Linked DNA regions of Arabidopsis thaliana. The protein of the gene in region 2 interacts with the protein of the main gene of each other region in a pairwise test. Each region holds a gene or a part of one and is shown on either strand. Other genes may lie near its edges. The genes, in order: AT3G52070 and PRK4.

What was found.
Region 1: the proteins of PRK4 (region 2) and AT3G52070 interact in a protein complementation assay, tested with the Arabidopsis thaliana proteins (one large-scale study listed by BioGRID).

What each region holds. Positions count from the first base shown.
Region 1 is NC_003074.8:19,302,516-19,318,140, forward strand, and holds AT3G52070 (RNA/RNP complex-1-interacting phosphatase), read left to right. Parts: upstream 1-10,202; 5' UTR 10,203-10,237; coding exon 10,238-10,582; 3' UTR 10,583-10,709; downstream 10,710-15,625. Other genes in the region: AT3G52030 (F-box family protein with WD40/YVTN repeat doamin), read left to right, coding at 36-134, 350-516, 712-801, 959-1,101, 1,171-1,255, 1,346-1,712; AT3G52040 (2,3-bisphosphoglycerate-dependent phosphoglycerate mutase), read right to left, coding at 1,853-1,981, 2,068-2,120, 2,197-2,287; AT3G52050 (5'-3' exonuclease family protein), read left to right, coding at 2,644-2,838, 3,068-3,281, 3,369-3,448, 3,660-3,698, 3,819-3,837, 4,567-4,620, 5,280-5,407, 5,487-5,555 and 7 more; AT3G52060 (core-2/I-branching beta-1,6-N-acetylglucosaminyltransferase family protein), read right to left, coding at 8,472-9,512; AT3G52075 (uncharacterized protein), read right to left, coding at 10,732-10,905; chx28 (cation/hydrogen exchanger 28), read left to right, coding at 12,575-12,745, 12,820-13,824, 13,918-14,523, 14,597-15,220; NRPB11 (DNA-directed RNA polymerase, RBP11-like protein), read right to left, coding at 15,554-15,586.
Region 2 is NC_003074.8:7,033,106-7,049,447, reverse strand, and holds PRK4 (Leucine-rich repeat protein kinase family protein), read right to left. Parts: upstream 4,738-16,342; 5' UTR 4,452-4,737; coding exon 3,725-4,451; intron 3,654-3,724; coding exon of another isoform or gene 3,626-3,653; coding exon 2,978-3,625; intron 2,901-2,977; coding exon 2,236-2,900; 3' UTR 2,025-2,235; downstream 1-2,024. Other genes in the region: AT3G20200 (kinase with adenine nucleotide alpha hydrolases-like domain-containing protein), read right to left, coding at 80-443, 544-595, 680-885, 975-1,096, 1,198-1,274, 1,376-1,553; AT3G20180 (Copper transport protein family), read left to right, coding at 5,538-5,679, 5,780-6,063; AT3G20170 (ARM repeat superfamily protein), read right to left, coding at 6,241-7,668; AT3G20160 (Terpenoid synthases superfamily protein), read right to left, coding at 9,419-10,453; AT3G20155 (uncharacterized protein), read right to left, coding at 11,188-11,498, 11,583-11,658, 11,743-11,912, 12,011-12,086, 12,180-12,197; AT3G20150 (Kinesin motor family protein), read right to left, coding at 12,949-13,131, 13,215-13,940, 14,031-14,123, 14,210-14,305, 14,400-15,263, 15,354-15,483, 15,698-15,847, 15,980-16,125 and 1 more. UniProt on the Arabidopsis thaliana protein: Receptor-like kinase involved in the control of pollen germination and pollen tube polar growth. Can phosphorylate ROPGEF1 in vitro.

The DNA.
Region 1 (15,625 bases), about 12 Mb from region 2:
AGCACTGGCTAAGTTAATCTGACTACTTTGATCAGGTTATGCGCCTCTGGTCATTAAAAAGCTACAAATGCATGGAAGAATACTCCCTTCCTGATGCTTCTTCCTTGATTGACTTCGATTTTGATGAGAGTAAGGTAAACCTTCTCTAAAGGTCATGGATATTACTTAAACTGGGAATGAGCTAAAAATGGATTTAATGATCAATGATGATACAGAAACCTCAGTCAAGTCACTGACATGAATTTCTGAAACCACCAGTATAGCAGTATAATCTGTTTCCATGTCACAGTTTGCCTCACCTGTTGTAGCTGAATATTTCCTTTTGGCTAAATCTTGCTATTTTCTATAGAAATTGGAAGTTGTATCTCTAGCATGGGAGTATTTTGATTCTGTTGTTGTTGTTGTTGTTGAGATTGTTGGCTTGGTTGGTACCCGCATTAGCATATGGAGGAGAAATGGACAAAGAAGCATTTTTCCATCTCGTGCAGGCACCTTTCCTAAAGGCCTTTGTATGCGGTATGTCAGAAGATACTCTCCTGATATCAAGTTCCTGAGAACCTATCTGTTTCTATAGAAAGATCAACTGATATTCCATGTTACTGACAAAAGTCGGTGTGATACTTCAACATGGCTACCTAGCCCCTCTGCCCCTGTAAGGTTGTTGGCTTCTCTATCCACACTGATAAGTTGTATGTTTTCTTTTTCAACCAGTTACATTGACCCAGAAGCTGTAGTTGGATGCGAGGATGGAACAGCTCGTGTATTTGATATGTACAGTAAGACATGTTCACAGATCATTAGGTAAGCTATGTATTATGTGTCTGTTGTGTTATGGAACAACACAGTGAAACTGGAAAAGAACGGTTTTTCATTATCAAAATTGTTTACAATTTCTTTTGAGAAAGCTAAATCACAATTTTCCTATCAGATTGGTTAATAACTATGTATGTAATTGCAGGACTCAGGGTGGGCCAATAACATGCTTATCTCTAAGCGATAATCAACTATTTCTTAGTGGGTCGTCACTCGGGAGAGTAACAGTATCTGACCCTTTGATGGATCAACCAGTGGCCACTCTTAAATCCACGATAACTGCAGGAGGTAAACTCAAACTCAATGTCAGATTGCATCTCCAGTGACATTTCTTAAAGCAACCTCCATTCTCTACAGGTATACAGACAATCTGTTTTAACCAAGGCACTAATCTCGCCTTCATTGGAACAACTGGTGGATATGTTTCATGCTGGGACCTCAGGTATGTTAAAATAGTCGTCTAAGGTTTTTTTCAAAGATGCAAGTTTTAATTCACTATCTTAAGACGTTATAACCAACTATTATCTAACAGGAAAATGGATAGATTGTGGGAAAAACGAGTGAGTCCTAATGTCGTGTACTCAATACAACAGCTAAGGAATGACACATCGGTTATGGTAGCTGGTGGAATAGACGGTGTGCTGCGTATGATTGATCAGAAGAGTGGAAGGGTTTTATCTAGAGTTATAATGGACGATAAATTCTCCACAACATCAACAAGGAACAACCAAGTGGTGATAGAGAAAAGAAGAGGAAAAAGAGTTTCTCAAGACATGGAGATTGATAAAATCGAAAGGAAAGTTCGGCCTCAAATCAGTTGCATAGCAATGGGGATGAAGAAGATGGTAACGGCTCACAATGGTAAATGCATAAGTGTATGGAAGTTCAATCTCTCGTAAAGTAACAATAAACTTGTTTGTAAGTGACGAAATTGGTAACAATAGCATTATAAATGATTGATTTAAAGACAAAACCGATTGGATTGTGTAAGAGCTACAAAAGTTGAAACACTGGAAACAAAAAAAGAAGGGTTTGTTGTCTATTTGGCGGATTTCTTGGATGGCTCAGGTTGAGATTCAGCTTTGATGATATTGAGTTGACCACCTTCTTTACAAGCTGCATTAGTTGCTTTCACTTCATTGCAATGGTTTATGAATTTCGTAAGCTCCTGCTCCACACAACACCAACCAATAACTCACAATTAAAGATCCAATCGATTCAGAATTTAGGGAGATTGAAGAATATAGAAATTACCCGATCAGTGTCCATCTCTTTCGTCATCTTTGTTGGTTTCACATTTCTCTTCCCTGGAACAAGAAGATGATAAAATCTGAGAAATCAAAATCGAAAGGGATTTGTGTGAAGTAAAAAAAAAGTGAATACCTTTGCGAGTTTGAATGGATTTGCCATGGCGATTAGGAGCAATAGTCTTCCTCTTCTGTTGGCCCTTGAACTGATTGCTCTTCTGCGTCATCTTTGGATCGTCGTTTCTAGCTAGGGTTTTCTCTTCTGTCGAAGGGTTTTTGTTGTAATAGAAGAAGAAGAAGAACAACAATCAAAAGCCTATATAATGGGCTCTTAAGGCCTTTATTTATATGGGCTGATTAATTATTGGGCCCAATTTGGAGTTTTCTAAATTCAACTCTGCTAAATTTTTGGGAGGCAGAAGATTTTGTTCCGAGGAAGACACGGATACGCAGAAAGCGGTAAAATCCTCCTTCTTCGTCGTCCTTGTAAAAACCCTTTCTCATTTTTGGAAGGTTCTTTCAAAATCCTTTCTTCGATTGCTTTCGGATTCTCGCTCGCTTCTTCGATTTTTGGTTTTGATTCATGGTGAATGTGTTTCCTCCGCTAAGGTTAAACGCTCTTCTTCTTCATGACAGTACTTTCAGTGACGTCATGACGCTGCATCTGTATCATCACTCCCGTTTTCTATGGAGGAATCTCTGTTTTCCTCGGAGTGTTGGAAACTTGTGTAATCGGAACTGTTCTCTCATCTCTCCTTCCCTTGCACGCTCTGCGAAGGTGATACTTGTACTTGTATCGTTCAATTCTGAGCTATTTAGATGTGGTTTTTACTCTTGTTATGTAGTCTACATCTGAATCATGGCTCTGATTAGTTTGATATACAGATTTTCTGAATCAATTGAATGTTTCTTTCGCGACATTTCTGTTTACTATAAACTCAAAATTGATCTCTGAAGGATACTTATTATTTCGTTCTAATGTTGATATAAACATTTGTGGTACACAGTACTATTGCAGTTCCGTAGCTGTTTCTGAATTCTCAAATGAAGCAGCTAGTGGCAGCACATTGACTTCTATAAGTGAAGATGTTACGCCACAGTCGATAAAATATCCTTTCAAGTCAGAAGAAAGAGTAGCTAGTACTGCTGCTTCTTCAAATGGCAGAGTGATGCTTATTGATGGGACATCGATTATATACAGGGCTTATTATAAGCTTTTAGGTAATTCTGCTACTCATGTGTACATCAAATGTTAATTTTTTTTCCTCCCGATCTCACACTTATTGACATTTGATTGGGCATGTGCAGCAAGGTTGAATCATGGTCATCTGGCTCATGCTGATGGAAATGCGGACTGGGTTTTAACAATATTTTCATCTCTTTCTCTTGTAAGTGATATCTTGAGTATTGTTCTCCAGATGTTCATTTTTACTGTACTTAAATCTGATGGTTGAGAAAAGCTTCTTGTAGCATTAACGATGGCTGACCAAGTAATCATGGTTGCGTATAATTATGTTTCCTTAAGGCTAAAGTTTATCTTTCTTGTTATAACTTTCGCATTCGACTTCTTACCTTGTTTCATTGTGTTCTCATTTTCAGCTGATTGATGTTTTGAAATTTCTCCCATCCCATGTGGCGGTAAATTCCATTATCCATTTAACATCGCATTTCTTTATATCTGTGATGATCGAATGAAGTTCTTGTAGTTTTCTTAATGTTGGATAGCCCCTACTGACTTAATTAACTGTGTCCATGCAGGTGGTGTTCGACCATGATGGTGAGTCCTAATGTAATAGTCTTCTATAATTGGTTAAATTCATGGACGTCTATCTACTTCATGTGGTGATGTAGGAAGAATTCAGGTTTTTGGGGACTTTTAGTGTCTATAGTTAACCACTTTGAGTGTGCCTCTCAGATGATTTAAACTAATTCATTGATATAAGCCCTTATTTCAAACTCTATAGTTATGGCCTCTATACTTCCTGATTTTAATTACTCAAGTATGTGTATGATTTCCCCTTATCAATTGATGCTAATTGCTCCTCTAGTCATCTATAATTTTGATTTTCATCATCCTCTTTCAGATGAATAGATAAATAATTGTCTTCAGCTTGTTGAATGTTGTTGCCCGAAAACTTAGATTATGTTGAGTGTTGATGTTTTCAACTTCATTTGTATCATAGTGAATGGATAAAAGTTTCAGATTTCAACTTCTGGCCACTACTGAGAACATTTATTCGATAGGCCTAAGAGTAAGCAGGTGGAGATCTAGATGGTGATATATTGACCAAAATTGATTACTTAATCTTGATAATCATTACTGTACTATTTATGGAATATTCCACTAAGTTATCTAGAAAAGCTTCTAGTAATGCATAATAGTGGTAATCTGACAAATATCATGTAGTAATCATGGTTATGTCATATGTGAGGCAAGAAGATTAAATGCTTTCTGGACCTATACGTCTCTAGTTACTCTTTTTTAACAAAATAGAGCCTTTTTCAGGAGTTCCTTATGGCACTACTTCTAATTCATCTACAGGTTATCGTTCTGCAAAAGGTAAGCTCCATGTCCTTAGTCAAACTAAAGTAATTTAATTGACAGTATAAGAAGTGGTCATTTTTGCATGAGAGTTTAGTTAGTATGCTGACTCGATGGTGATGTATGTAATATCATCGCCGATGATCTCCAATTGCTATACAAGCCTTCAGTATATTGCTTCTAAATATATAAACTTGCAGTTTGAACTGATTTTCTGCTGTGTGCCTAGGAGAAATTATTCCGGAAATTATGGCTTACTTGCCAAGGATGATATTTGAAGTGAAATGCCAACTTTGTCTTCCTTTGGGTGTTTTGCTTGCCGCTTTTGGGCAGTCATAAACTTTGGTGTAGATAACAGAGGGTCGGTCATATGCGCTTCCATGGCGGTCTTTGGCTATTTGTAAAATAAACTTAGGTCATATCCAATGATGAACGTAGGTCCAGTATGCTTGATGTCTTTTGTTGTTTCCGTTCTGTACATACTGACATAGATATGCATATCCAATACTCTCTTCTTTCTACGTGATGGGTTCACTTGGCTGCTCAAACTGTAAATTTTAGGCTTTTTGGCACTCTAAACCTCGACATGATTCTCCCTTGTCTTTGCGCAGAGTGTGAAGGATTATTTTTATGCATCAGTATCAAACCTATCTTTGTTCATGTTTAAATTTTTACAGGCATGAACTTCCGTCATACTCTCTACCCAGCATATAAAAGTAATCGTCCTCCCACACCTGATACCATAGTACAAGGACTTCAATATCTCAAAGCGTCCATCAAGGCAATGTCTATAAAAGTTATAGAGGTAAATCATGCACATGATTGCCATATTTCCTTTCATTGTGATGATTTCTCACTAATGGGCAGACATTCCATGAAGACAGGTGCCAGGTGTAGAAGCTGATGATGTTATTGGAACACTGGCTATGCGAAGCATTAGTGCCGGTTTCAAAGTACTCATTTTCAGCTATTCGAGAAGTGTTCACTACTTATTGAATGCTCAGGGTCTGTTCAATTTGTCCTTTTCCTAGAAGTGGACTGATCATTTGTTTGTTACCCCTTTACAGGTCCGAGTTGTCTCTCCAGACAAAGACTTCTTTCAGATTCTTTCTCCCTCGTTGCGTCTTCTTCGACTAACACCACGCGGATCAGAGTATGAAATTCATGTTAGATGGATAATTGCCTCATTGTAGAATTTTGCGTATTATGAAACCATAGTTGCTCTTTGTATCCTGTATGTTTTTTCCACTCAGTTGTGTCAAGGCTACTGCTTCTTGTGGCAGGATGGCTTCTTTTGGAATGGAAGATTTTGCTAAAAAGTTTGGAAATTTGGAACCAGCACAATTTGTTGATATCATCGCCCTTGCTGGAGACAAGTCTGATAATATTCCAGGTTAAGCCCACTTCCTCTACCCCTCACGAAATTGTTAATTTCTGGGGATATTCCTTTCATAGCCGCATTTTGTGTATCACAGAAAAGTTGAGCAAAAGTGCACAATCTACATACAAACGTTTAGCCAAAGTGCACACAGGAAAGGGCTAAAGTGATCTAATGATGTTTGTGTGATGCAGGAGTTGATGGTATTGGGAATGTGCACGCAGTGGAACTGATATCTAGATTTGGTATTCACTGAGTCATGCTATATTCTTTGATTTCATTGATTTGCGCCCCATGTTTCCTATTACTCACTTTTATTGCATTATCAGGCACGTTGGAGAATCTGTTGCAGTCTGTGGATGAGATCAAAGAAGGAAAAATAAAGGAGGTGAGTGAACAAGTGTTGCAGAGGTTAGGCAAGCTAGTGCTTCTGTGATATGCAAGGCCTAATATTATAATCTTCCTTGTCTTTGCAACAGTCTCTAATAGCTAGTGCGGATCAAGCCATTCTTAGCAAGAAATTGGTAGGTTTTCCTGTTTTTCTTTCATACTTTCATTCATTTATTCAGTTGTTAAGTTCACAAGGTAGGGATGATGAATTGTGTTAATGGCAGGCACTGTTACGGTCTGATCTCCCAGATTACATAGTACCGTTCGACACGAAAGATCTTACTTTTAAGAAACCAGAGGTTTGTATTTGTATGACGATATACATCTACTACAATAGACTAACTGAAAACAGAAAGATTAGTAACAGAGGATAATTTGTGAAATGTACAGGACAATGGTGAGAAATTGAGTAGCCTGTTAATCGCGATTGCGGATTACGCAGAAGGATTTTCAGCTGATCCAGTCATCAGAAGAGCTTTCAGGTTGTGGGAAAAACTGGAAGCAGTGCCATGATGATATTTTATGCATCTTTTTTCTTACTCGTTTCTTTGTATTGGGTACATAAAATAGAGTAAGTTCAAGCCAAGCTTAGAAAGTTCTCCCACAAAACATTAAAGCGATACTTTCACAATCCTTTTGTAAAGCATGCTTTATTGTAACTATGGAGAATGATGAAGTTGATGCTAATTTAGAATGCTCCTCCATGGGAGGTTCCATTACATAAAACACAAGGGAGATGATAACTTCAAGCTAGCCTCTTCTGAACACATCTAAAATGCTGTCTGAAACTCTGTTCACTTTGCTAAAACAAGAATCTCTTCTGTCTTTTAGTTGAATAGGTAAACTAACGTTAATATCATTTACTATTATTAGTATCCGCTAAATTGATTATAAAAAAAGGTCAAGTTAATGCCTCATGGAGACATATGATGATGATGATCAAAGTAAATTATAAACTAAGAAGAAAATATTCGTCTCTATTGAATTAATTATGTACATTAGTGACAATAAGAACTAAAAATATTCTAAACAAATTAACAATGAAAGAAAAGAGACAAGGTACTAAACTAGTACGTAAATTAGTAGACAAACTCCTTCATTGGATCTCAAACCAAATCGAAAACCAAGGACCAAGGTAGCATTATGCTTTTGATGATGGGGTCTGAAAGTGTGTTACCACTTACCACCTTGTGACAACTTTGGAACACTGAGTATTGGTGAAACCACTACTCAAAGCTTAAGCCCGTTCGCACAGTGACCCGGCTTTGAGCTTATGAAATAATGGACTCCGGGGTTTGGTGAGCCTGACGAGATCGAGGCCTGTCTTGTGCACGGCTACTGGAGAAGTGGGGTCGCAATATCTGAATTCACGATGACCGCTGATTTCTAAGACATCGACGTTGTCTTCGATGTTGTATTCTAAAACAAGATTGTCTCCCACTTTAAACTGTTTCTCCACGCTCCAATAGATAAAATCACAAAAGCACAATCTGACCGACAGTATAACAATAAGCCATCTAGTTCACAATCAATGGGCTGGACTAGATGATTCATTAATTAAAAGAACGTCATATGACCATAACTTGGTGCATTTTCACCATTGTTTTGTTACTTTGCAATTAGTAATTCATCAAAGTAAAAACACTTGAAATAACAAAGATCTTTTCATTCACACTTTTTTCGAAACAAAAGAGAGGGAACAACACTTTTGCCATTCCCTCTCTCTCCCGTGGAAAGGAGCTGAATTACAAAAGAAAAGCCGATTTGGCTTTATCTTAATGATGATGCTCTCACTTTGCCTTTGGGGGCTCTCTATTTACATTCTTTTTTACATCCATTTTCCCATATCTCTACCTTCCCTAGAGACACACAAAAGCTTAAAAAACACAGCAATTTTCACACACACACACAGAAGTTCATCTTTATTTAGCCACTCTTCTTCGAGCGCCAACACAAGCTTCTTCCTAAACCTTCCTTATGATGATATCTGAAACCTGAACACAATAACAAGAAGATAAGCAAATTGAAACTAAACTCTCAAACTGTATTCATATTTACACATTGAGATTTCAGTGTTATACCTAATTTACTTTCACCGAATTCAATCCCTAAAGATCACAGCATCTGCAATCTCCATAAGCGGTTGCAATGACTCCGGCGTGAATTTTCTGGCGAAGAAATAGTCTAAACTCGAATTAGATCTCCGCAGAGAGTGAATCAGCTGCGGCGAGATCTCAGAGGCATCGTACGTGTGAGGATGACCACCAACACTACCGGTCCAATTAACACGTGTGAGTGTAAAGTGACTACATCCTTGAGGATCCTCAAGAGACAACAAAGTCGGAAAATAATGTTCTTCAGGGTAACAAGATTCAACATCAAGGCATGGTAATTTGAATTTCCTCCATAGCTTTCTCTCTTTGATCACCATTAGAGCATGACGTTTCGCTAATACGAAGAACTGAGATCCAACACGGAAGTCTTGGTACTGGATCTCAGGAAGCATCGCGTCGTCTCCTCTTGCGTTGTATCGTTTCAGAAGGAACGGTTCATCGGAGAGGATCTCGATGAAGCTTTGTTGATGATGATCGGAGAAGAGGTGGTTGTGGATGTAAGAGAAGGAATGGAGAGGGATACAGTGTTGTGAGATTAAAGCGAAATAGAGATTGTTAGGATCGTCGAGGATTGCGTTTGCTAGTAATCGTCGTTCGGCGGAGATTAACGTCGGAGAAGCTCGTGCGGTTCTTCTCGCCGGGATGAACTTAGCGTTGATTGATGAAGAATCGAGAAGAGGAGAGACGGAGGAGGTTGGATCTGCGTGGATGTAAACGTTGTAGAGATCTTGGTGACCTTGGAAGAAGCTTTCCCAGAGAGGTAAGAAGGTTAGATCGGAGTTTGTTAGGAAGAGGAAAGCGATCTTTGGGGGTGGATTTGGAGAGAGGGAGATGAGACGACGGTTGTTGTTGGTGGAGGAAGAGACGACGGCGCGGTGGAAGAGAGAGAGGTCGTCTAGGTCATCGGCGGTGGAAATGAGGGTAGAGGAAGAGAGAAGGATGTGTGGTGAGAGGATGAAGAGGAAGAAGAGAAGAGAAAGAGAGAGGAAGAGAGATAGAGAATAAACGAGTGTAGAAGATGAGAACATCTCTCTGTATACAACAACACAGAATTTCTCTGAGGAAGAAGAAGAAGAAGAAGAAGAAGATTGATTGAAATGAATGAGTTAGAAAAAATTCTGATGTGACAATAAAAAGGAAAAAGGGGAATAATGACGTCAGCAAAATGGGGACACGTGAAATTATTTTTAAAATTATTTGGGACAATCGACACAGTTGCTCTATCGCTATTTGTTTACGTGGGGCTGTTCTCTCTCTATTTATATAATAATGAGATACGGTTTTTTCAGCAACCAGATTTTAAAGTTATCTGATTAAATCTAATAATAGGATAGAGATAGAGTCACAGAGACATGTTGTTGACTTTATGACATTATTTTATTCTTTGCTTATCCACTCAGTCATCATTTATCTCACCAGTCAGACATAATGTGTTGTTGTTGTGAATTTGTAGATGCTTCCGACTATACCTGATTACCTGGCCATTCAGAATCGGTTTGGATCAAAAAATTTGGGTTTTCGGTTTAGAAATCGAAACAAACCGAATTAGTTGAAACGAACCGAATAGAAATTCGGCCAATTTGGTTTTGCATTGGCGTGTACCTTGTGACTACATGTGTGTGTGTTAGATGAGATCTATCCACCCATTTTTCAAATCATTTTTGTCGTTAAGCTATCAAGATTCTGATATTTTCCTGCTCACTTTTGATTCCCAAAACAAAAAACTTTCTTCAATTATTCTATTCATCTTCTCATGGCGGCTCTCTCCACCACCTTCTACTACCACCCACTCTGCACTAACCACCGTACAAAGAGACAAGCCTCAAGCAGACACGGAGTTAGATCTATGAGAGTGATGTCTTGTCGGAAGCAGAAATTACCAGAAGAGAATGAAGGAGTGATCCAGAGAACATTGAGAAGGATGATTTCAGAGGCTGGGAAGATTGGGAAGAATCTGAAGCCAGAGAAGAAGAAAGGAGACGTCAAGGACCTGATGCTTATGAGTCTCTCTTTTGCTGTTTATGTTTATATCTCTCAACTATTGGTTTGTGCTTACTTCTCCTGGCAACATCTCAGCTTCCCCAAATCTTCATGGTAGTAGCTAAGCTAGCTCCTCCTTGTAAATTCTGCACAAATCAGTAATAAGATAAGAAATTCAATTCCGACATAGGAGAATTGAGAGTTGTGATCTTTCACTTTGGTCTTATATAATTGAATTGTTAAGCTTCTCATACCTCTTTATCTGCTTTAACTCCGGCAGAAAAGGCAAACCAACCATTGCGATAACACTATCAACCAGTTAAGGCTCTTTGTTTTAGAGCCGAAAGGAGATGCAAGAGCCTCGGGCAGAGTCGCTGAGTATGCCTTGAAAACCAAAACTTTGACCGTAATTGTTAGAAAGAAAGAGAGATTCCTAACCATTTCGTATTGGCCTCCTCCAATTTATCCTCCTTAAACAGAGAGCCCCATCCATTTTCCTTCTGTGTGCTGCACCAAACCTTTCCTCCATAGTCATATCACTGCGAGCTTTTCCCTGTACAATCCAACCTCTAAGTCAGCTATAAGCAAAGAGCTTGGGATAAAAGCTTGGTTGTGGAGTGTTCAGGTAAGGAAACAAGAATCAGCAAATGATCTTAAAGAAAAAACGTTCCTCCTTTGTTTCATCAAATCCAACAACTTCAGCGTCATCTAACAATTCCGCTATAGATGGAACATTGGGAAAAAGAAGAGTTTCCATCTCTCCTATATGCTAAATTCCCAGCAAACATGCAAGAGCGCACGTTCACCAGACTTGATGCTGGAAACACCAATAGCTAAACCGGCCATTACTTGTATCTCTGTTCATAGAGGACATTTCACTCCTTAGTTTTTAATCTTGTTTAAAGCTCTGTATACTAACATAAACATGCATGAATCAGCTTTAAAGCAACAAAAGAAAGAAAGGAAAACTCAATTTCTTTCCTCCCAAATATTCTTTTTCATTAGGTTCACATGAAACGCAAGATTTAAGACCTCAGCTTTACTATCAACTTTAGGTAGGTAAGACTACCTACCATTTTGAGAAGGCTCACAATGCAAAAATGGAACTCACCATCCTTGACTGATTCGGTTTCAGCTCCAGCAAACCAAAGTGTTTCTAATAAACTTGGCCGTGCATTGAACCACGGAGTTCCAAAATCAATGTCTGTTTAAATCATTGGCCCCAGAATTTGAACTACACACAGAGTCACAGACATTCATTACGATGGTTGAATGAAATGGTCTTGACTAAGAAGTAAGAACAACTATGCACAATTGAGAAACTATTAGCTCGATTTCCAGAAACTATCACTATCGTAATATAAAAGTCCCAGGATCGACCAAATCGGACGAGAAAGACTCAATGAAGAAACCCCATAAAAACATGGTCGAAGTCAGTATAAACAAAATCAAGAGTTTGGTCGTCGTTGTGGATTTGGAGGAGAGGAGAGTGAGCTTACAGAGTATGAGAAGCGAGAAGCTCAGGGGAAGTGTGACTCGTCGTCGTCGTCTTCGAAGTCACTCACGACCATCGAGAGATCTGATGATTTTGGTAAAATATCAAAAAAGGACTTCAACTTTTCACTTAAGTCAAAACAAGCCCCTATAAATAAATTCTGTTATTTAAGCCTTGAGGCTTGAGCTGCGTCTTTGTTGTTCACTAGGAGAGTTATTTGAGCGGATAATTTACTAAAACTGAATGTCCATCTCCCAAACAAACATTTTACGTTTTCATGTTATATAAAAGAATACTATATCGTTAGCTAGAATATTGTAGTTAAATATTAAAGTAGTGTATTTTACATTTTGTCTGAACTTTGTCATCTTTGTTTCATGAATGGTCAATGGTGAATAATGGGGAGAGAAGGAACGTGAATAAAGGGATCCACAAGTGTCTCCACCATTTTCTGAGTAAAAACAATCACATCCTTTCATTTTCAAACCCCTAAACCAAATTGTAAAGTCAGAAAAAAAGAAAAAAAGAAACACACATACAAATCGAAAAGCTTTTCTTCATCTCCCACGTTACAATAAGCCCTAAGAACGAATAAGGCAACTACAGAGAGAAAAGATGAATTCAACTACAACAAAAAACGTTTGTGGAGACAAATGGTACCTTAACCTAGACAGGCCAGAAGAGGCATTGAAGATTCTTGTATTCATTGCCATTTTCGTCGTCCGAACTCTCCTCCATTATCTCATGAAGCCTCTAGGCCAACCTTACCTCACCACCGACTTTGCTGTATGTCAAATATCTTTTTGTTCTTTGTCTATCTCTTTTGATTTCTATATTAACTCAAATTTTCTATGCATCAGATAGGGCTAATTCTAGGTAATATTCCAAGGTTTCGAGGGGCATTCTCGGGGCCTTACTCTATAACCCTCAACAACATAATAGAATTTGGAATGATCTGCCATATGTTTGTCATGGGTCTAGAGATGAATCCAAGCGTTCTTCTCAGACCACCAACCAAAGATGCATTCATTGCCTACACAAGCATGATCACGACCTTTGTTCTCGCCTTTGTCACAACTCCTTTCCTCCACTATACCAAAACTTCTCCTTACATTTTCTCCCTCGCCCTCTCCCTCATGGCCTCAAGCACCGGTTCTCCTATCCTAACCCGCGTCATCGCCAATCTCAAAATCAGAAAATCCGATCTTGGAAAACTTGCATCAGCCGCAGGTGTCCATACGGACATGATCTCTACCTTGCTTTACTGCTTCGGCTTCATTTTCTTCCCTACGGAGAAACCTCTCGCTCGTCCTCTCCACAGATTCTTCAGAGCCCTCCTCATGTTTTGCCTCTTCCTCGCTCAGGTCACTTTCACTTCCATTGTATCCCCAATCTTTCTTAATTGGGTCAACAACGAGAACCCTGAAGGTAAACCACTCAAGGGGTCACACCTTGTTATGTCCCTGGCATTTGTCGTCTTGATCTGCAGTTTCCCAACTTGGCCACCTGAATCAATGTACAACCCAATTCTCAGTGCATTCACGGCTGGTCTCTTCCTTCCAAACAAAGGAAGAATGTCGAAATGGATCATCAACAAAATCAATTACTTGCTCAGCACGGTCTTCTACCCTATCTTCTTCTTCTGGGTTGGATTCATAATCCACATGAGAAACTTTGACATTACTGACAAAATGGCGTGGGTAAGATTCTTTTCTCTTCTTGGCACTGTTATAGCCGGAAAAGTCACCGGAACAGTCTTGTGTGGTTTACTACTCGGTTATCATGTCCCGGAAACCGCATCCTTAGGACTGCTTTTGACCACTAAAGGCCATTTTCATGTCTACTTGGCAGCTTTAGCCATTCGGGTACCATCAAGCTTTCTCTTTATGTTTTGTTATTTAAGCTATCATCAAAGTAAGATCTTTACTCTCTTTCTTTTTCGTTTGATGCAAATGCAGACTAACAGGGTGAAAAGTACGACCGGTGCATTGATCATATTTATCATTGTCTTCACGGTGGTCTACTCCCCATTCGTGGTCATGGACATCATCAAACGCGCTAGAAAGCGGGTGCCTGTGCACATCATGGCGCTTCAATGGCTCGATCCAACAACTGAACTTCGGATCTTGATTGGTCTCCACGGTCCCCACAACATTGGTTCTACGCTCAACGTTATGGAGATCTGCCATGGTGGCCGTGAGCCGGGTTCCATATTCTATGCGACTGACATGGTGGAGTTGACTGATGAGATTGCAGCCACGCTGAAGAAGGGCGGAGGAGCCGGTCAGAGTAATGATTCAGTGACGGTAACGGATAGGTCGGTGACGGAAATGAGAGAGAGTATAACGGCAGCTGTGAATGGGTACGGAGAGCTCCGCAATGGACAAGGTGTGACAGTGCGGCGGATGCTGGCGTTGTCCACGTTTGTGACCATGGCCCATGACGTCTGCGGTTTGGCTGATGAACTTATGGTTTCCATTATAATTCTACCGTTCCATAAACGGCTGAATCCTGATGGTACTCTCGATGCTGGTCATGCTGGGTTCCGTCATGTGAACCGCAAGGTAATTGTTCCATCTCAGTAATACTCTGTTTCTTTCAGTTCTCAGAGAGATAATTTGGCATTTGTGTGTGCAGATTCTGAAGAACGCACCATGTTCAGTAGGAATTCTTGTGGATAGGTCGTTCGGGCAAACAGAAGAGGCATGGAGACCAGGAGCGTCCATGGGCATTGCTATAATATTCATAGGTGGCAGAGACGACCGAGAGGCACTAGCCTTCGCTGCACAAGTGGCTCGACATCCTGCTGTGAAATTAAAGGTTATACGTTTCTTGGAAGACAAGAGCTCTCAAAACGCACAAAAACGAAGCAGCATCCTGAACAGAGCGAGTGTGGTAGATCAAGAGGAGGAAATGAAGCTTGATGATGAATGTTTTGCTGAGTTCTACGAAAGATACATAGCTGGAGGTGGAAGAGTGTCTTACATGGAGAAGCATCTCACCAACTCCTCTGAGACTTTCACAGCTCTTAAATCACTAGATGGAGAGTATGGGCTGGTGATTGTAGGAAGAGGAGGGGGAAGAGCGAGCAGTGGGTTAACCACCGGCCTCAACGACTGGCAGCAATGTCCAGAGCTTGGTCCCATAGGTGACGTTCTTTCAGGATCAGATTTCTCACACAACACATCAATGTTAATTATTCAGCAGCAGCGTACTCGGGGTCAGCTAGAAGGGCTTCATGATGACTTCACTATACTGTGAATATCTGTACAAATGCACTTTACTTAGTAGCTTGGGAAGAGTAGTAGCTTCACCATCACAACTCTTAAAGAGACTTTGTACAATAGTTCAAACATTAAGCGGTTTATGTAGATAGAATGGTAAAAAGAAGAGGTAATCTAAGCATTACTTCATAGCATCCTGAAATGGTGTTGAAACATAGAGTTAAAAGAAGTTACAGGCCGATTTGTTTTTGATTTATACAAAGCATAACTAGGGAAAATTTCCCAAGCTCATTATTAGTCTTGATTGGTGCTTAGCAAAAGACAATGTAAAACGTTTTCCCCGATGTGCTGATGGAGAACTCCAAGTTCCTTAAAACTGATTCGAAAACTTGGCCACCTCTGCCTGAAAACACAGAAGGGTATACCATAAGACCAGGTACAT
Region 2 (16,342 bases):
ATTTTTCAAGAAAAATATATAGTAAACCATTCCCGAAAACATATGTATTGCTATCTATAACCAATCAAACGCATCTTACCAAGTTTTGTGGTGAACAAGAACAAGATGACCGACCGCTATCTTGTGAGACGAATGAGAAATCATGTTGGATATTTGTGTCATTGAACCTGATTCCTAGACGCATAGAGTGTCCAGAGCTCGTCGACTCTCTCGGAGTTAAACCAGAATCAGGAAAATCGTAGATGAAGGAAGGGCTTCCAGTGGTGCTTGTACTCGGCCTGCCTGAGCTCACAAAAGATATGTCAGACCTTCCGGTACTTGTACTTGGCCGGCCTGAGCTTGCGGTACTTGGCCTGCCTGAGCAAACAAATGATATGTCGTTTTCGGAATCTTCCAAATCAAAGAATGAGTTTGCGTAATTTGACGTCCTTGCCATAGGTGACCTGTTGACGATATTACCGCGAAAGAAAGAGCGATAAGTATCTTCCTTCAAAACGAATCAGTTTTTTGTCAAAGACGAAAAATATCCTCATGAAACATTACTTTCCATAATCTTCAATGGAGCTAGCAGTCGAAGACCTGGGAGGAGCCCTATCTGTTTGTACCAACGAAAGAAAAAAATTCAAGATGTGTGTGGTGTCACATGGTTTAGCCTAAAAAAACTAGTTAATGATTTTACCTCTAAAGCTCATGGTGTTTCTGAACTTTTCGTAGTTTATGATTTCAGAGTGGTTTTCAATCTGACCCATAAGCGGAGACCGATATGGAGCAGCTCGTGAGGCATGGCGGACAGATGATATCTTCCCTTTTGAAATAACGTAAACTGTACAGAAATCAGGTGCTGCTTTCGCTACATTGCTCGGTGTATCAGAAATCTTAAATTTCCTGTCAACAGATTGAATCAAAGAAACACATAAGGATAAAACAAGGAAGAGGATTCAAACTTATAGGAGAGAAGAGATTCATATTACTACCTCATGAATCCATGCCTCGAAGGAGCACCAAGAATCAAATTCTCAATCACACCAGAGGAAACATATTCCGCAAGGGACTTGACAATGTTGTCATCCTCAAGCGTGACATCAAGGCATTGTATCTAGCAACAGAGAGTAAAGAACAATGCATTCAATTACCAAAAGCTATGCTATAACATAGATTCACTTTAGAAACAAAGCAAGCGAGGACAAGAGATATTACCTCTTTTCGACTGCAGTAGCAATGAAATGTCACAAAAAGATTTTCAGCTTGCTTATGTTTCTCTGCAGTAATCTCACCTGCAAGCAAACCCATAACACCACAACATTTAAGTATATCCAGAATCCAAAAAATCAAAACAACAAAAAGAACAAAAACAGGTTTTGTCATAAGCTCAGACCTGAATCAGAGGATGACCTAAGGATAACATGGAGGAGGATAATGGTTTGTCCTTTAGAGACAAGATGATCAGCAGCCCATTTGAGAGCATGTTGGCTTCCTTTATTGTTATCCACTGCTACAGCGACTAACCCAGAATTCGTACCTTTCTTCTTCGAGCTTCCCTTTTGAGCCTTCATCGATTACAATGCTTAAGAACCCTAGATTGCAAAATCCCCGCATTTAACGATATCAACCTCTCGATTCACTAATCCATCTTCTCGGAGAATCTCATTCTCAATACTAAAGAAATCTGCGGTCTTCCTAAATTAGGGGTTTTGAGAAATCCTCTTTCTCCAAATTAGAAAACTTCGATTCAGTGGTGCACTGAAGAACAACAATGGATAATTTTAACCTCACATTCTCTCTCTCTCTCTCTCTCTTTCTCTCTTTCATCATCTGTGTCTCCGTAGCTCTCGTAGCCGCGAATTCTCCGCCATAGTAATTAGTTTATCCCCAAAAATTCAATTTTTAGCCCTAAAATACAATTCTCGAGAAAAAAGTTCCAAACTTTTTTTGAAGTTGGAAACTTTTCATCCACATACAATGCAATTTGAGTATTTCGATCTCAAGCTATGTTGTCACTACGCATGGATTCATTACTTTTTGCATGGATTTGATTCTTGTACTTGAAAATAAGAAATGAGTAAAATTTTCAAAACTCTGCAAAATGGATTTACAATTACACGAAGAGAATGATTTATAAGAATGGAAAAAGTTACATAACAAAGAAGAAAAAGAAAGTTCTTCTTTTTATTTGGCATCAAAGATTACAAATTGTTTAGCTTTTTCCATTGTTCTGGAGAAGACTGATCAGTTTCATCATCGATTCATGGCGAAACCAAAGTCATCGTCGTCTATCAACCGAGAAGCAAAGACATTATGTGTCGTCGATGCGAAATCATTGTCAAACTCTCCTTCTTTTAACCTCTCTATCTTCTCCACAGCATCTCTCATCTCCATCCTCCTTTCTTCATCTTCTTCGCAACAACTCAACCCGATTTTCAAAAGGTTTAGCATCTCTGCTTTGCAGTTTTTCTTCCCAGTCATTTCCTTGTCAAACACGTCACCTGTTTTCTTCTCCTTAACCATGTTGCTCACCCAAGTTACGAGGCTCATGTTAGCATCGTACCCTTGGCTTAGATAATTCTCCGGAAACCTACCTGTTAAAAGCTCCAAGATCAATACCCCCAGGCACCAAACATCTGTCTTTTTAGTTAGATGTCCCTTTAAGCTATACTCTGGTGATTTATAAGAGATCATTAGATTGTGAGACTGCTCTGAGTTCATCACTGGTCTTAGTGCATAATCGGTTAGGAGTGGCTCAAATGATTCGTCCAATACAACGTTCGATGACTTGAGATGACCGTGAGGGATTGTTAGGGTTGTTAGCTCGTTGAACAAGTAACCTAAACCCTTAGCCACTCCTTGTATAATCTTTAGCCTTGTTGGCCAATCCAATCCCGGTTGATCCACAGAATGATTCGCTGAAACAGAGCATTTTTTTAGTCAAAACTGATAAAGTTACAATTTTAATCGACCAAAAAAGTTGAATGTTACATACCGTGAAGATGGCTTGCCAAGCTACGATTTGGCATGAACTCAGCGATCAAGAGCTTCTCTTCTCTGCGGTAATAGTAAGCCACAATAGGCAACAGATTCGGATGTTTCAATCTCCCTAACCGTCTCATATGCTCATGAAACTCATCTCTTCCAACATTGTTCATATGTTTATACCTCTTCACGACCAGCATCTGTCCGCTATTTATCCCAGTTTTATAAGAAGAGCCAAAGCTTCCGCTCCCAAGAACTTCAGCAGAGGCTCTAAGAAGATCTTGAAGGTCAAATCTTTGAATGTCATCTTGCAAAAACAAGAGTTTATTCTGATCCGGTACTGCTCCTCTTCTACTAGTGTAACTCGTTACAGAATCTGCAGCTTTATCCTTGTCCGTAGATTGATCGTAGTTGTATTTCTCTGTCCTGTCCTGACCCGCGGATGGATAAGCCGACAAACTCTTGCGTCTTCTGGTATGAAGGATACAGACCACAAGCGAAATGATCATCAGTATTATCCCAATGACAATCAGAACAATTGCAATGATGAAGAAAGATTGGTTCTTGTTCTTTTCCGTGGGACTAGAAGGGAGATCCGGAGAAGATCCTGAATCACTCGAACATGGGCTTAGTGGAGGACCACACAAGTTCTTGTTCCCTGCAATGTCAACAAAGCAAGAAAGATTCTGTTTTTACATAAGAACTCCTATAGTTTACCAAACATTTGCAGATGTACTTGAACTGTTTGTTTAATTACCTGAAAAGGAGACAGGATCCATGTTGCTAAGGCTTTCCGGTATAGGTCCCTCGAGGTCATTGTTTTCGAAGCTAGCCAACTTAAGGTCCTTTTGTTTAAAATAAGGTATTTCCCCATGAAACTGATTCCCATTTAGCCTCAACTCTAAAAGCATTGGCAAATAAGCTAAAGAAGAAGGGATACTCCCTCGAAACGCGTTGTTAGCCAACAGAAGCTTCTTCAAATGATGCATACCATCAAACGCATCCGCGGGTATCTCCCCTGTAAACCGGTTGTTAGACAAGTACAATGATTTCAACGCACCAAAATTCTTGACAGATGGCATTGAACCGTTAAATTTGTTGTTCATGAAGCTCAAGGTTCGTAGATTCTTGATTGCAGCTAATGGTTCAAGGTCAAGCTTCCCGGTTAAGCCCATTCCTTCGAGTTGTAGGCCCCAAACATTACCGGTAACACAGAGAACACCGAACCAATTCTCTGAGTTTCGCTTACACGGGGAGATGGAAGGATCCCAACTGCTAATGAACGATGCATTAACCAAAGTATCTTTAAATCTCAAGAGGCAATCTGCGTCTGAGGCTGGCAGTGGCAAAACATCCGCCTGCGGCTGAGACATGACCATTGTGACCGGACATAACACAATGATGAGAAAGGTGGTAATGAAGGCTAGCTTTTTGGTTGAGGCGGTGTTGCTTGCAAGCATAACTGGGGTCTCCCAAGTTAGCATTGAAGCTAACACGCTCTATAGAATCGATTCTTCAAGAACAATCTTACCTCTTTTCGATCCCAATGAACTTTTCTTTTTCTTTTTTTTTTTTCGCTAAATAACTTTTCTTTTTCTCTTTCCTGCCTTCCAGAGAAGAGAAAAAAAAAACGTATGAACAGAAAGAGAGAGAACAAAACCCACCAAGAATAGACAAAACCCAACAATGTGTCAATATGCAAGATTTGGTTTTTGTTTGCCTATGTGTTGTCTACAAATTGTTTAGATTTTAGAGAGATCTTAGGGTGGCCATTCCATTCTTTTATGGTTTTTTAGTTATACAATCCTTGTTGTTGTGATTTGTCTTTTCATTTACTTCCCATTTGTTCTAACTAAATCTTGGCCTAACACACAATCCTTATTATAAAAATTAAACTAAATTAAATTGTGGAAAAATAAGCCTAATTAAGTTAGTAATTAAGATGCATTTCCATAACAAAAATATATGTAAAACTACTACTACTAATATTGACGTAAGAGTGGAAAACTGGTTATAAGTCTTGTACGGGGGACAGCATATGATACACAATGGGACAGATTTTTCAAAGAAGACAAAAACTCAATGGCACAGTGGTAATTAAACACTGGGAAACATTGGCAAATCTGTCAGGGAAATGGGCGACCTTGTGTATCAAGTTAAAAAGCATGTAACAGTGAAACCCATTCACAGAACAACTTAATTTCTTCTTCTCTTCCCATTTGTTTTTCTTCTTCTTGTTTGAGTGAATCAAAAGGACCGAGCACAAAAGACAAGAAATTGGAGTCTCAGTTGGTGTCTGATTCGGTCAAGAAGAAATTTCTCTCTCTCTGTCTTTTTCTGGCGAAGTTTACAGTTCTGAAACTCAGTGTGTAGAAGCTTCTTCGCTTTTGAAATCCGTACAAAACGGAGAATAATTAGGGTTTGGTTCTCTTAACTCATATCTGAGGAAGTTTGGCTTCGATTCTTAAAAAGCAACTTCTTTATAGAGAGACAAAGCTTCGTCAGGACAATGAAGGTGCTAATTTTTCTTGTTGCTTAAAGGCTCTTCATTTTTATTTCGATAATCATGGATGTCTTGTTTCTCGATCTGTTTCTTTTTTCGAATCATTGGTCTTTGTTGGAGCAATTTGCAGCAAAAGATGCGTATCAAACTGTCAGTGAATAGTGAAAAATGCAGGAAGAAGGCAATGCAAGTAGCAGTTGCTGCAGATGGTTAGTGTTAAAACAGATTTAATGTTTTGAACCGATCGAGAGTGGTTTTCTTATGGTTAAAAAAAATGAAACTTTAATACATCTGTATCTGGCAACGCAGGTGTAACTTCAGTGGCCATGGAAGGAGAATTTCAGGATGAGCTTGTGGTTGTTGGAGATGGAGTGGATTCAGCTTCTTTGATTATGGCCTTAAGGAAGAAAGCATGTCATGTCACTCTTGAGACTCTTGAAGAAGTGAAGAAGCCACAGGTCGAAGAGAAGTCTATTACACCGCATTGCTGCATAGCTCAATGTCCTGTGGTTAGCAATGAGCAGCCAAGGCCTGAGGTTTATAGAATAGTGCATGATTCTTATGGTCCAACCACTGGGTGCTTAGTTATGTAAAAGAAGACTAACCATGTAGATACCATTTCCATTCAAAGTCAGAAATCTTTTAGTACATGTATACAAACGTATCAAATACAAATTGCAGAAATCAAACAGCAATTGAGTCTTTTCTTTTTCCAAGTCAGATTATAAACATACATCAAAACAGATGGGAAGCTTAATTTGCCCTTCAGATCATGGAAGATCATGGTCATGGGCAAGATGTTGGATTGTAACCCTTCGCATTGATCGAACCATCAGTTCATGGGAAGCTCGGATTCTAGCCAGTCTGCTCTGCATACTCTGAAACACAGGATGGCCTATTGCCTCACGCACTCTAGCATAATGCTCTTGGTCTTCAGAAAAATTAATAAGTGCCTCAGCTGCGTTATCCCTGAGCTCTTCCGACTCATCCCCCAACCATTCAATCAGAATCGGTATCATACCGGAATCAGAAAAGGCCTCACGGTCGTTCTCATTGTAACTCAACTGAGAAATAGCTCCAGAAATCCTCTCTCTGAACTCAAGTGACCCATCTCTCAGAAGCTCAATAAGCAAAGGAATTGCGCCAGACCCTCTAATAACAGATACAGAATGCCTATAACCCGCAAGATCCCATAACACATCAGAAGCTGCAAGCTTGGCTTCGTTATCCCCTGCTCTCAAGATCCTCACCAGTTGTTCCGCTATCAAAACAGCATTACCTTCAGCTACAGCTAATATACAGAACACATCCTCTGCAATATCTTTCCCCATGGGATCTTGTCCCGAGAGAAGCTCGACATACAAAGGAATGGAACCAGCTTCAGTGACAGGCCTAATGTACTCAGTCTGAGCAGATATGATCCCTAAGGCATTACCAGCTAAAAGCTTTGCCTTATCATCCCCATCTCGATACAGATCCACAAGTGCTGGAATCACTCCTGCTTCAACCAGTATTCGCCGAGCTCGTCTAGTAACACCGATCAGTCCGATAGCATGACAAGCTCTCTCTCTTGAGGCCAAGTTCCCAACTTTAGCAGCTTCTACAAGAAACTTAAGCCCACCTGAATGAACAAGAACGCGTCTGCTCTCTCTAATCGTCGTCAAAGCACTAAGGATCTCTAACAAGTACCATCTACTTCCATCATCTTCCCAATTATTCAACTCACGAATCACAATCTCTAAACCACCTAACCTAGCCAAACCAACTCGAATCGAAGATCCAAAAGTAACTAAGCTCCACAAACATTTCACCCAAATCCTTCGAAACACATTACCATCCGTATTCGCTTCAAGTAACAACCCTAATAAGCTAGCAATCACACCACACCTCCCCATCGTCACCGCAAATCCACTTTCTTCACCGCCGCAACAGGTAATACATTTCAAGCAATGAGCGGCGGCAGCTTGAACGGAACGATTGGAGTCGTCTGAGACACGAAGAAGACCGGCGAGAATCGGAATTGCACGGGATATATAGCTCTCAGGTACTCGATTCGTCAAATCTGATAACTTTAAAACGGATCTTACACGAATTGAAGCAGAACCAGACGAAATCGCGTTTTCGAATCGGTTAAACTCTGTTTCCCAATCTGGGTTTTGAAAACCTCTGCTTTCACTTTCCGTTTCTGAAGAACCCATTTCTGGAGATAACGAAAAAGCTTCGAATTATCAAGAGAGTAGTAGCACGAAATACTCGAAAAGAAGACGAAAATGGAGATTCAACATCTACAAGCACAACAGAATGAAATATTGAAATATGCCACGTCAGATTTGACCAGCCCTAGACACTGAAGGAGACGATTTTCGGTTACCCGGTTTATAAGGATTTTAATGTACCGAATTAACTCGACTCAAATTGTATCTTTGGGTGGTGACTAGGTTTTTGGGTGGTCAGGGACTCCCCTCTGTTTTTGGGCTAGTGATGGTGTGAGTTTCGTCAGTCGGAGTTCTGTTTTTTTTTTTCTGCTCTTCGTGAAGCCACCTCCTTTCTTCATCCGTTTTGCTTGAAGTTGGAGTTTGTGGTTTCTTTTGATGTGGTTGTTTTGTGCTTAGACAACAGTGATGTTGTGCGTCATGTTGGAGTGGAGTCTTTACGGAATAATAGAGGCGGCATGTTGGTTTTCGAGGCATCGCTTATCTATGAGAGATGGTTCCTATTGTTGTGATACGAATGGTGGCCGAAGGTGGTTTCTTTGGTTACCCGTAGATGCTTCTGTAACTGTCGAATTTGTGTGTTAGCCCTATAGTTGTTTTTGCGTTTTTGCGTTAGTTTGCAAAGAAGCTGTACACATTTTATCGAGAAGTTTTGAAGACGGGCTTCTGCAAAGGTTTGCTCGTAGCAAATAGGATGAGACTCTAACTTTTTGGTATCTTCGAGTTGTGGAAATCATGCAAATTTCCAAGTTTAGCTTTTCGGAATCGGTGTTTCTTCTCTTATTTCCGCTTTTGGTTAACGTTTTCCTCCATTACTATTTATTTATGTCTGTGTTTTTTGTAAATTTATTTTTCCGCTACTTATTTTCTTGTAACTCCTGTCAAAAAACTTAGAAAATGATATAAATACTTGACATTTATTAATTTTTGAAGCAATCGAATTACGTAACACACAATGAAAACAACTTACTCTCGTTGTAAGTTGTTATACTATATTACTATCATGTGGAGTCATTTATAGTATAACGCGCGGCACGTTGGGAGCGTTTACGAAGCCTTTGGCCATGACACGCTAACATTATTATAATAACGGAAAAACAAATCTCATTAGTCTCTTGTTTAAACTAGTCTAAGCAAATGTTTACGGATGAACCAAGTGGTGGTAGTCTAATGGTTTCCACTTGAGGAAGAATTGCCCTGTTGGTCCAGGTCAGGGATCGATTCCCCTTAGGCGTGAAATTACTAGTTATTTCTATTTGGTCAGGGGCTTTCACCTAGTATTCCCGGCCCGGATCCTGAAGGGATTAAGGGTCTCGGCCCCGAACCTCCTGGTTATAAAAAAAAAAAAAAAATGTTTACCGATGCATTTACTACTTAACATGTGAGCTTTACCTTCATAAAACCACTAAATTAATTATCTCAATTTTTCTTATCAAACATGAGACTAATTAGTTTTTGTATCATTACTATTTGTATCAAAACAACTCAAGCAGTACTTTTGTATCATTACTAATGTACTATTTTTAGAATTGCATGCCAAATGAATAAGACAAATTTATGGAAACCCCAACTTTTATTTATCCAAAGGAAAACAAGTGAAGGCCGTTGAGCCGTTAAGTAGAACCAGGCCTAAATTTGTGTATGGGCCTCCTGTGTTTTGTTTACATATCCAAGTTTTAATATTGTCACTAGACAGTAGACACAAATTTTGTTATTAAGCTTTTGAGCAATAGTGTCAGTTTTGTCTGTTGACAATGTAATCAGCGAGAGACACCAAAGGAGCCACCTTGTCTATATCAAACCCTAGAAGATGTTCCCGCGCTTCTATGTTCAATCTCTCAGCATATTCTTTCGATTTCTCCACTCCCATCAGTCTCGGATACGTCAGTTTTCCGGCGATCAAATCTTTACCGGCGGTTTTCCCGAGCTCTTCCGACGATTTGGTCACATCAAGCACATCGTCCACAACCTGAAACATTAACCCAATACATCTTGCGTAACTCCGAAGCCTCTCAATCTCTTCATCAGACCCACCTCCCATTATAGCTCCCATAACAGCTGCGGCTTCAAGCAACGCCGCCGTTTTATGAATATGTATAAACTCAAGATGCTCTAATCCAGTGTCACTATCAAATCTCATACCTTCTCCAGCCAAATCCGCCTGTTGACCTGCAACAAGCCCTTCCACTGCTTTAACCATCTCCTGAACGGTCTTGAGAATCCTCTCTGGGGGAACGTCCGCAAAGGTGGATGACGTGGTCTTTTGGACAGCCAAAGCTATGAGCGCTTGAGAAGCTAATATGGCTATACTCTCGCCAAAGACTATATGGTTAGTGGGTTTTCCACGTCGGAGGCTGTCGTTGTCCATACAAGGGAGGTCGTCTAGGATGAGAGACGACGCGTGGAGCATCTCAATCGCACATGCAGCGGACATTGCGGTTGACTCTTGTCCCCCCACGAGCTCGCATGCAGCTAAGCAAAGCATTGGTCTTACACGCTTCCCATCGGAGAGAAGCGTGTACCTCATGGCCTCACGGATCTTGAGTTCTGGCTCGCGGAGAGGAACAGCCTCTTCTAGTGCTTTATTGACGGACTTAGCCTTATTGACCATATACGACATGAACTTAAAATCATAGCTTGCGGCCGAAGTCAGAGGGCGGGTCAACGCAGACGTAACATCATTGTAACGTGGACGGAATCTCCAAAACAAGAATTGGAGAGAGCGGAAGATGGAGATGACAATGTAAACAAAAACTTCTCGATTTTCCATCTTTGGGTTTGGTTTGATCCTTTTACCTTGGAACACTGATATACCATCTTTATAGTTGAAGAGTTTAGGGTTTATTTAACAAAATAATCACGTTTATTGATTTCTTGAAGATATTCAATTACGTAAAATACGAAGCAAAACAGCTTCTTTCTCGTTGTAAGTAATATGAATTGATTCGATAACGTTGGGAGCTTTTTGAAAGCTGGCTTGCGGGATAACAATTTTTGTAAGAAAACATAATTCTCCTCATCTAGTTTTATGAACAAATCCCATGTGATTGAAGTCAAATGTTTTACGTTTCTGTAATTACTTCTCAACATGTGATGCTTAATTATATATAAATAAAAAAAACATTATGTTCTTATCAATTAAACACTATCTATAAATTTATAAAGGCAAATATGTAAAACGTAACGATAAGCTTCTATGCTTTTCTTTAAATGCACTCTGCCTTTTATGTTTAGCATATAATAGCATCAACAACTAGAGCAGTAGTATGAAAAAAAAAAAACAATATGAAAACACTAATGCACACAAATTTGTTATCTCATTCTTGAAAAACTCTTGAAGGTTTACCAACTAGGTACTTGATTAATAACACACACATATGACATATATGAGGAGTAGGACGTTGTTTTCATTTTTTATTTTCTTTCGAACGGTTCTTCTTCTCATGGTCCATTATTTGGTTTTGCAAGAAAATGATAATATGGTGCTAATGACGACATGATTCATTAACAAAAGAACCTTCTTAAACCGCGAGACTTCTTGTATACGACTTGGTGTTTAACAACCTCAGGAAGAGGAGGAGGCACCGTGTCTTTCACGTCCTTTGTCTCAGCTGTTCCAATTGAAGGAGCCTCAACTTTCTTGGGAGGAGGTGGGTTCAAGTTTGCATCTTTATACTCGACTCCATATTCCATTGCTGACAATTCAATGCCTGTCTTCACAAGCATCTTCATGAGCACTCCAATTTCTATGTTCCCACATAAATATACCATCGGATTTCCCATAACCGGTTGTGCATCTATGGTAAATGATACACCTGAAACCAAACCCACCAATCAAAACAAAACAAAAATAACATTTTTCCAAAGATTAATTGATGACCTAGAGAAAAATTCTGAACCTTGGATGGTTTTCAAGGCTCCTATGATTCTCTTATACCAACTTATATCTAATGTGTTTAGTTCAAAGCAACATCTCTGCAGAAGCCAAACACACACATATTTAGATTTAAAAACCACTGATAATAAGTATAAGTAGTGAAAAGTTGTGAGATATAAAACCATGAAGTGAGAATTTGGTCTCCGGGTTCCTTGTGGATTTTCTTCATATCCATAATCTATTCGGAAGAGCTCAACGTAACTTCTTGCTTTATACATCTTCCTAATGAAGGTTATTGGATCAATCTCGCCCCGTAAATACACCAACCAGTTTGACACATCGAGCTTTAAACCTCTCGTGTTTCAGAATATGTATACAGAGTTAATTAGTCTTCTCAATTCTTGTGTAGATAATTAATAATAAGATCTTAAAGACTCAAAATTCTTTTACCTTCAATGCCTTCATATATTTTATTCAACATCTTTTGATAACCTTTGAGTCCAATGTTCACACCAAACACACATGTCTGTTAATAAAGTTACAAAATCAGAGGGCTATCAAGAAAAATATAGATAACATCTCGAGAAACAAGTATTAGAAAACACAGAAAATTTCTTACCACTGAAGGACCCTTCATTGTTCTTGGTTTCTAGAGCTGTCTGTATTCTTGTTTTTCCCTAAAAGCACAACTTCGATGACACAATGGAACAACTTCGATTATAATTCGGTATTATGATTCTAGTTTCCTTTCTTATATGTCCGTATATTTTGCTTTCGATAATGTAGAGATTTATTTTCTTAATTATAGAAAATTATTCATAAACAAGAAATATTCTATATATAAACACATAAACTTTCCAAAACTTTTACCACTGCATAACAAAACATGAGTTTTTTTTTTTTTTTTTGGTGAACTAAATTGACATATACAACAAAAAGTTAACTTTAAACAGAGTAAGATCCTTGACAAAAAAAAAAAAACAGAGTAAGATTGTCGATTTGGCAAAATAGGATTCCCATAATTAAAGTCTACTCTATTTTGATTAGAATTTCTCTTGTATTACATGATCAACAATATATATATCTTGTAAGAAGAATTTGAGTTTGGAAAGAAAGATAACAATTTTAAATGTAAGAAAATTAAAATGAAATACCAAAGTTAAAGTTATACAGAGACCAGTTTGCACGCCACAAACACGAGATTCAAATCAAATACAGCAGAACAAATAATTCAATTGGGAAAAAACTAAAAATGCCTTGTGGAATAAGGACATTTGAATTTTATTAGAAGCAATAAAGTGAAAAATAAGCAGAATAAAGATGTGTATAATATACCAATCAGATCCAAGAAGGGTCTTCAAGTTATGCACTTTGGTATAATGATGTTTCTACATTCCTTCTTCCTCAATAGCCGAGTTCCTCTGATGCAGTGGCTGCAATGCAGATTCTGGCAACGTGTTTTGCTTTAGACTCTTTTTGATTGTTACCACTTCCAACTTGTGTCTCCTCTTCAACTTTTCCATTTTCTTCTTTAGCTTCTCGTTTTCTTCTTCTACTTCATTGAACTTTTCCTGCAACCAAACAGTCACTCAGAAAACAATGTCACAGTCTCAATCCAACAGTTCATCGATTAAAACATGAAAAATTTGTTTACCTCAGCAGCTGATGCTGATTGTTCGGCTTCTCTGAGTCTAACAAGAACTTCTCCAGCAGTATGAACAGCTTCAGCAGTATTCCTTAGTTGAATCTTGAGGCTTATGTTTTCCTTCTTCAACAGATCTCTTTCTCGTTCTCTTTCTACTCTAAGTGCTGAGAGCTCAGAAGCAAGTGATTTAGCAAAACGAGAACCGCAACCCTTTTTACCAGCCTTTGCTACTGCCTTCTTCAACTCTGTTATCCATTCCACTGTTGCTTTATGCTTTGAGCATAAGTCGTTGTACTTCTCTTGTAGCTCTGTGTAGTGTTCAACAAACCTGGCATGACCAAGAACAGCTCTGCGAAGTGCATCTTCTAGCTCCTCAGAAGATAGTTTCTCTTGTTTAAGCTGGGCTTCAGCTTTCTCTGCGCGTGTACGTTGAGTTTCAATCTCTACTCTGAATTCGTCAGTCAATGATATCCACTCGCTTTCCATTTCTGTGCACCTAAGTCTTTCTTCCTCGATATCTTTTTCAGCATTCTTGCTACGGAGTTGAAACGAACGAGCCAACAGAGATGATCTCAGTTCATTGGTGGACATGGTTACAGGCGTCTGCAATTTTTTTTTCAGATCCTCAATTTCTTTGAGTAATGCCTCCTTCTCGCCAATATCAAAGTCTGTCTTCTTGGAGTCATCATCCGAGATTTGTTTTACGTCATATGTTTCAGTTATACAGCTGAGAAGCTACAGAACCATGGAGTTGGGATTTATGTTACAATCTATCATATTTTCTTCACTATAGTAGTCACATAGTAAATTAAAGTAAGAACCAACCTGGTTTTCATTTGCAGAAGGAAGTCGTTCTCCATTACTTGCTCCCATAAGTTTTTCTGTTTCATCCTCAGTTTGAAGTTTGTGTTGCCCTACCTTAAGAAGATATGATATAACCAGACTGCTTAACCATATGTACTGATCCAAGTTTCAGTAGGCATAAGACATAGAAATTGGGTTACCAGGCGCGTTAGCTGTTCAATCTTGGCTGCTTGCTCTGAGCACAATTTTTCAAGCTCTTGCTGCTTCTCAAGAACCCCTTCCATATGATATCCATCCTGATTAACAATAAATCCAGCAACGTTAGCTTCAGGATAACTGTAAAAACTAAATCTATTAAAACATATTGTATCTGCTATATCATATACTTACTCCCTCAACTACACTTGGTAACTTAGAGCTGCAAATTCTGCAGGTTGGACAGAGTGGCGACAGAGGTAATCGATCATCTGTGGGAGGTTGCATGGTCAAGTTATCAGAAGACAAAGAAACTGAGCATCGGTTTGATGCAGGGTTCATGGGATTGTCAATAATATCCAAGCCTCTCCGCAGACTTGCAGCTAGAGATTCTGTAGAACCTGTGAATATCTTGCTTCCGCGTAAAGATGATCTGATATGTTGGCTCTCTGCAAAACACGTGGATTTTATGCTCTTCGCCAAGCTATTCTGATTCCTGAGACATGACGAAGAAAGAGCTATGCTCTTCCGTAGAGAATCTCTGAATTTAGGTGACTCTGACTGGATGGGTTCTTGCAAGATTAAGGATTGACGGCAGGGACTGATTGATATGCTGTTTTCCGATACAAATTCCTCTATCCTGGATTTCTCACTTGATTTACATACTGTTGCAGCACTGTCATGTTCTTCCAAAGATTCACCAAAATCATTCTCCTCAACTTCTACTTCTTCTGAACATATCTCATCATCATCCATTAGCTCTGATTCACCGAATGCTGTTACAAAGGATGAGTTGACCGAGTCTCTGTTGACAGGGAACTTCTTTAGTTTCTGGTTAAATGAACCACGCAAGGACTTGATCTGCAGATGCAGTTCCTTAAAATCATCCTCATCAACCGTTATCTCTTCCTCGTCATTATCAATTTTTGGCAGCATCAAAGAGCGGTTAAGACTAACTCTTAGTTGATTCAAACTTTCACGTGCATTCTTTGCTCCGAAATAATCATTTTTACTTCCAACAGAATGACAAGCATCGGCTTTGACTTTTGAAAGTTCTTCCTGCAAAAAAGTGGTAAATGATATTTAAATGACATCCAAATTCGACAACCAAAAGACAAAAAATGGGAACGGTGTGGTGGAAGAAGAGACCTTTAGCAGACGAATCTGGTCACTCAAATCATTCACATCTTCTTCTGAGATCTCATTTATCATTGGTTTGTTTCCCATGGCTTTAGCCCGTTCACCAAATCTAAGGGTGCTCATTGTTCTTTTTGTGTCTCTGTGTTACACAAACAAACTCTATCAGTACATATAGTGGGCATCCTGTCATTAAGATGCTCAAGTGTTATGAGCTTTGTTCTCTCAGCAAGACCTGAGATTTGCACTCCTTATCTCTCTATACAAATTATATTGATTGAATATTAATACTTGGTACCATCAGGCTGTTATGTTTATATTTAACTAATAAATGATAACAAGATGAAGAAAATTACTTGTCGCTCGGAAAAATGTTGCACAGGATAGTGAGTTTTGAATTTCCACCAAGAGATTCTTGCAATAAATGCGTCAAGCATGATGTTTTATGAAGACTGCGGTCGGATATTCCAGGGTGAACGTTTTCCGCCAGAGAATTTACAACATGGCTGCACCAATAGTAAAAATGACAGTGTTAGCGAATCACTCATGAAGTTGTTGATTTTTTTGTTCCCTATTTTGGATGCTACTTTCTTAGTTGAGACACATGAAAGTAACACAGGGAGTTCATAAAGTTATACCCGAGCTCCGACAGAGACTTCTTCAAGAACTTCTCTTCCTCCACGCAGTGTTTAGTAGCATCACGTTCATTTGTTCCCGCTCCAGCAAGATCAACAAGGTTGATCCTACTTGTTCTGGTAGTATTGAAACATCTTGACGAGGCTCCCTATGCACAGAATATATTGATCAGTTGTTCATCAGTGTTAAAGATGCAAGAAAGACGAAAAAATAACTATACCTTATTCCAAGACTCGACAATGAAAGAAAGTATGACGTGTGATCGAGAACTTTGAAAACTTGTGCTAGTTGCTCCAACTTTTCTGCTTGAAAGGCCCTGAAAAGCAGAACATAACGCATACCAAAGCATGAGATATAGACTTGGA